Linked DNA regions of Saccharomyces cerevisiae S288C. Changing the gene in region 1 together with any one later gene gives a genetic interaction. Each region holds a gene or a part of one and is shown on either strand. Other genes may lie near its edges.

Region 1 (3,238 bases):
TGATCATTATTGGTGGTACCGTGCTTGTGACTTTTTTTGGTTACAGTGTCATTCATGCATACGAGAAATGGTCATGGGTACCCAATTTTGCCGTCTTTTTGGTTATTATTGCCCAACTATCGAGATCAGGAAAGTTTAAAGGTGGTGAATGGGTAGGAGGTGCAACTACTGCAGGTAGTGTTCTTTCTTTTGGTTCATCTATTTTCGGTTTTGCCGCAGGATGGACGACCTATGCAGCTGACTACACTGTTTATATGCCAAAGAGTACAAACAAGTACAAGATTTTTTTCTCCCTAGTTGCTGGTCTAGCGTTCCCTCTATTTTTCACCATGATTCTTGGTGCTGCTTCTGCTATGGCTGCTCTTAATGACCCAACCTGGAAGGCATATTATGACAAAAATGCTATGGGTGGTGTCATATATGCTATCCTGGTTCCTAACTCTCTGAACGGATTTGGTCAATTCTGCTGCGTTTTGTTAGCTCTGTCCACTATTGCAAATAATATTCCAAATATGTATACTGTTGCTTTATCCGCTCAAGCTTTGTGGGCACCTTTGGCTAAAATACCAAGAGTAGTCTGGACAATGGCAGGTAATGCTGCCACTTTAGGTATTTCCATCCCTGCTACCTATTACTTTGATGGCTTTATGGAGAATTTCATGGATTCTATCGGTTACTACTTAGCTATTTACATTGCCATCTCATGTTCAGAACATTTCTTCTACAGACGTTCCTTCAGTGCTTACAATATTGATGATTGGGATAATTGGGAGCATCTACCTATCGGTATCGCAGGTACTGCTGCCTTAATTGTTGGTGCCTTCGGTGTTGCATTGGGTATGTGTCAAACCTATTGGGTTGGTGAAATTGGCCGCTTAATTGGTAAATATGGTGGTGACATTGGGTTCGAGTTGGGTGCAAGTTGGGCCTTCATCATCTACAACATCTTAAGACCTTTAGAATTAAAATACTTCGGTCGTTAGGAAGTAATGATTAGGGCGATCATTTCCCCGTGCACATTTCACGTCATGTATCATAGATGCAATTTCATGTAAACTATTTAGACATCTCATTTAATAAAAATAGCTACAAACTGTATTTTACAATATTAGTAACATATCAAAGATAATCTCTATGGTATATACAAAACTTCAAAAATGCCAAGACAATTTGCACGGCTGCGACCTAATTGAGACTTTGTGGCCTGCATATCAGTCTTACAATAAAAGCCAAAAAGAAAAAAAAAAAGTAAGAATGCACAGGTGACTAGTGGTTATGTGACTATGTGAACGTAAAGAGAACGAGATGTAACCCGGCAACCCGGCTAGAGAGGTTGTTTAGCATGCGAGGTATTAGACTCCTTGTCAAAAAATTAATTAAAATATTTATTAGTTAATTTATTAGTTGCAAAGTCATTGATAACAGCGTGACTCTTCCCGGAAATTCTTTCATTTCGGCATTTCGAAGCGAGACCGCAAAACACGTGTACGCACGTAGCCAACGATTGAAAAAAAAAGCTTCCAAGTGAGTCACCTCTACCGTTGGAACTTATAAAATATTTTTGCAGAATATACTCGCCTGAAAGTCCATTTATACGCAGTGAACTGCAAGTATTTACCGTCTAAACTTTGGCATTTTACTCCTATTAACGGTTTGAATCTTTGAAAATAGAAAAGAAAGGATAGGTTTCTAAAAAATTCAATAGAAAAATGGATTTGGTGAACCATCTAACCGATAGACTACTGTTTGCAATCCCAAAGAAAGGTCGTTTATATTCTAAAAGTGTTTCTATTTTGAATGGTGCTGATATTACCTTTCACCGCTCTCAAAGATTAGACATTGCACTAAGCACAAGCTTACCTGTAGCGTTGGTCTTTCTGCCCGCTGCAGATATTCCAACTTTTGTTGGTGAAGGTAAATGTGATCTTGGTATAACTGGTGTTGACCAAGTTCGTGAATCTAACGTCGACGTAGACTTAGCAATCGATTTGCAATTTGGTAACTGTAAATTGCAGGTACAAGTCCCCGTAAATGGCGAGTATAAAAAGCCAGAACAGTTAATTGGCAAAACCATTGTTACCAGTTTCGTGAAACTTGCTGAAAAATACTTTGCCGATTTGGAAGGTACTACTGTTGAAAAAATGACCACAAGGATAAAGTTTGTCAGTGGTTCCGTGGAGGCATCATGTGCTCTGGGAATTGGTGATGCTATTGTAGATCTTGTAGAGAGTGGTGAGACAATGAGGGCAGCAGGTTTAGTTGATATTGCCACCGTCCTAAGCACAAGTGCCTACCTAATAGAATCAAAGAACCCAAAGAGCGATAAGAGTTTGATTGCTACTATCAAATCAAGAATTGAAGGTGTCATGACCGCTCAAAGGTTCGTTTCATGTATTTATAACGCACCTGAAGACAAGCTGCCTGAACTGTTGAAGGTGACGCCTGGCCGTAGAGCACCAACCATTTCCAAAATTGACGATGAAGGATGGGTTGCTGTTAGTTCCATGATTGAGAGAAAAACGAAGGGTGTTGTTTTAGATGAATTGAAAAGACTCGGCGCATCTGATATCATGGTTTTCGAAATTTCTAATTGTCGTGTATAAGATAGAACAGAAAAAGGGAAGCCAAATCCCGATTAATTTTGTATTTTTTATAGGCAATAATTTGATAGAGTTCTATCTTATTCTAAGTTACCCCTCATGACTTCCCAAGTGTGTTTTGAGGTTATCTCTGTGAATATTTTTTCTTTTTTTTTGCTACTTCCCCAGGAAGTTAAATCTTCGTAGCATATTTGTCAGCTTTACTACCGTCTTCATGCTCATGAAACCTTCTTCTTCAACCCCCTTCATTTCTCCAATTTTCGAAAACTGGAGCTACCCATAAATATTCGGAGTTTTGTAGGTATTTTTATTTTGGAGAAAACCTGTACAAACTCTCCCCAGGGAGCATAGATTGGGGATCGTAACGCATAAAGCTGTCTAGAATGCATTTTTCCATGCTACGTCGATTTTTTGCCCGGAAGAGGCTGACGTAGCGCTGGAAGGTACCGACAACTATGCCTATTGTGGAGATGGGCGGCAAACTCCTGTCGCAGAGTGGGGGCGGGGAAAGGTTCTTTTTGCCGTGGAATGAAGCGCATAAAAGAAAAACAGTATGCCATATTAAGTCTTTTTAAGGGGAAAGGGGCTGCTACCATGAGGTCTTTTACCAAAAATGTGTATCAGCTACGCTTCTCAAT
Region 2 (2,977 bases), 290 kb from region 1:
AACATAGATATTGAATTTGACTTAGATTCATATATTAGAAAAATCGAATAGTTTCCTGTGCCTAGAAATTCTAAGGTGCCATTCCAGAGGATTTTTATGACAAAGATGAGATGTAAGAATCAACTTTTTTTAATATTTTATATCTTTCATCAAAGAAACATCACAATGTATATTACAAAGTGGAGAAGCATCCAAAATATAGCTGCAGTGAGAATTCATTGAACTGTATCAACTGGGTGGAAAATGTCACAGTCACTTATGGAATTCTATGATTTTATTCAATAGAAAACATTTAGTAAAGCTGGTAACCGACCTTTTTTTTTTACACATTTTTTTTTTTTTTGCTGATTATACCTTGCATTCTAACACCGGGTTCTGATGTTATCACCTACTTTGTATCTCGCATCATTCTTTATTTGGTAGACACGTCCCAAAATGGAGGATGCGCACTAACGAAAATGAAGGATAATGCAGTGAGAATGATAATTTTGATATTGATAGGATCAATTGAAAGCATATCACATGTTTTTTGTGAAATGTTGTATAAGAGATAGCGCTCTTGTTGGGTTTCGATAGGGGGAATGTGGAGTATCTGATGTAACACTGTAGTCTTATTTCTTGTCATAAAGAGGGACTGATTGGGGTGAGGCATATTATATTATAGGAAAAATTGCAGAATATCTAGGTAGTAGTCGCTTCAATAAATTTTTTTCCGACACAAGAATAATGAGACAAATCGGACTATATTTGACGATTAAATAAACCCAAAGCACCCCTATGCTATATGGGGGAACTTTAGAGTAAACAAGGTTGAAATACGTCAATTTGTAATTTCATAAAATACGTGAGGTCTTTTTGTGAGAGATACTTGCCCATTTAGATTTTTGTCCATATCGTGATAATTTTTTTGAGTTTTAATTAATGTGCTCCACCATCACAGAGTGTGTACCAGTGCAACCCACTCAGGGATATGCTTTAAGTCATATATTCTCGCTCTATGGGAACCATAAGCTGGACACATTTCTTGAGGTTATTTAGTAGCGAAAAATGGCGCAATGTTACTCTTTCACTTCTATTATATGGGGCTACAATGCCAATAAGGATTAATGGGTAGCGATTGTGGTTTCTTACCTTTGTGTAGTTGCGTAGGCTTTTTAGTGTATCAGTGAGCAAATTTAGTCCAAAAAGATCGCCAGCGAAGACTGTCGTATCTGGATCATTCGTAGTATCGATAGCTTAGCGATATTCTCGAGGATGTAAAGACAGCAGATTGGAGTTCTGATAATTTTTCATTACTTTTCAGTGAGAGAGTGCCTTTCTCGTTTTATATCTCAATCCTACCCGTAGAACTGGTCTGCTATTCTCATTTATCATTTTATTTCAAAAAAACCTTCAGGAGACAAACTGATTCCATCAAAGGCCTGTTTGCTATCTAGGACAATATTCGAGCTTAGTAAGTCACTTCCTGAAAACCATTCTGCTTGCGAGCCCGAAGCTTTGTGGCAATCAGTCTTCCACATCTGTTTGCAAGGGTGTTTTATTTCATGTCGTGAGAGATTTGTGATTAAAGCTGTTTTTATTAATCAGTTAGCAGCTTCATTCTCTTGAAGGATATATATAATTTTCTCAGATTTCTTCCGAATAATATTTAATCATTGAAATGGCAAAAATAAAAATTACTGTCAGCTACGCTATCTTTATATAGCTACAAAAAATTAATGGCCACTAAGCAATTACTGAGACGTCAAATCAAAAGGGTAATAAATGCTCTTGACTACGATATTATCGCTGCAGAGTCGCATACTATTTCTCAAGCAGTACGCTCATTGATCGCTTCCGCCAATTCTAGGCGTGTAGCGTGTTATATGAGCATGGATAAAGGAGAAGTAACGACTGGAGAAATCATTAAGAATTTATTTCAAGATGGCCAGGAGGTCTTTCTGCCAAGATGTACTCATACTTCTGAATCGAAACACTTCAAATTACGGGAAGATCATCATCCACATTTAATATTCCATCGAATGAGTAGTTTGAAAATGGTTCGTGATTTGAAGCCTCAAGGTCCATATCAACTAAAAGAGCCTGAACCGCATATTGAGGAATCAGATATTCTAGATGTCGTATTGGTGCCTGGAGTGGCGTTTGATATTAAAACTGGTGCAAGGATGGGTCACGGTGCTGGGTATTATGACGATTTTTTCCAACGGTATAAGATACTGCATGAAGGCCAAAAGCCCCTCCTAGTTGGACTATGTCTTATGGAACAGGTGGCCTCTCCAATTCCTTTAGAAAAACATGATTATTCCATGGATTGTATAGTATGCGGAGATGGATCCATACATTGGTTTCAATAATTTCATATATGTATTATTTACATGGTACAGCTATTGTATAAATAAATAAATAAATAAATAAGTAGACGGCAAATCTATTTTTCTTCTTTTGGATTCCCTTGTTCGCTAGAAAACGTGGCATTAGCTTTGACCAATGTCCTGTTGCCACTTTGGTCCATAAGTTCAGCCTTTAATTTAGTTTTGTTACCGTATTGCTGAAGATCGGTGGTTCTTACTACAACAAATTGATTAGCTAACGTGGGGAACTTGTACGAGATACTCAAATTCTTGGTTTCTTGGTTTATATTTTTTGTTCCTTTTTCGAGTCTAATGGCCTCCTTCATTAAATCTTCAATAACTGTTGCTAAAATGCCTCCGTGAATTAAGAAAGGATAACCAGTAAGTTTCATTCCTAAATGGTATAGCCCGACAGTTTCACGCCTACTGGGGTTGTAGTAAACTCTTGGTGGTATAGCGACGCCACCTGGTGTATTTAATGCCCTTGACACTAACAAGTTCTCCTCTTCATTAGCAATCACTTGTACAAAACCAGCATTCTCCAACTGTTTTACTATGGGTAGGCCATTTAAACGTCTATTCAGATCAGCGTGATATTTGACGACTTCATCTGCGTTCTTGGGTAG

Evidence for each region.
Region 2: of HIS1 (region 1) and FAU1, a mutation in one rescues a mutant of the other (synthetic rescue), as found in Saccharomyces cerevisiae (one study listed by BioGRID).

What each region holds. Positions count from the first base shown.
Region 1 is NC_001137.3:264,257-267,494, reverse strand, and holds HIS1 (ATP phosphoribosyltransferase), read left to right. Parts: upstream 1-1,709; coding exon 1,710-2,603; downstream 2,604-3,238. Other genes in the region: FCY2 (purine-cytosine permease), read left to right, coding at 1-983. UniProt on the Saccharomyces cerevisiae protein: Catalyzes the condensation of ATP and 5-phosphoribose 1-diphosphate to form N'-(5'-phosphoribosyl)-ATP (PR-ATP).
Region 2 is NC_001137.3:552,711-555,687, reverse strand, and holds FAU1 (5-formyltetrahydrofolate cyclo-ligase), read left to right. Parts: upstream 1-1,718; coding exon 1,719-2,354; downstream 2,355-2,977. Other genes in the region: FMP10 (Fmp10p), read right to left, coding at 2,429-2,977. UniProt on the Saccharomyces cerevisiae protein: Only enzyme known to utilize 5-formyltetrahydrofolate (folinic acid) as substrate. Contributes to tetrahydrofolate metabolism in an alternative way of folate biosynthesis.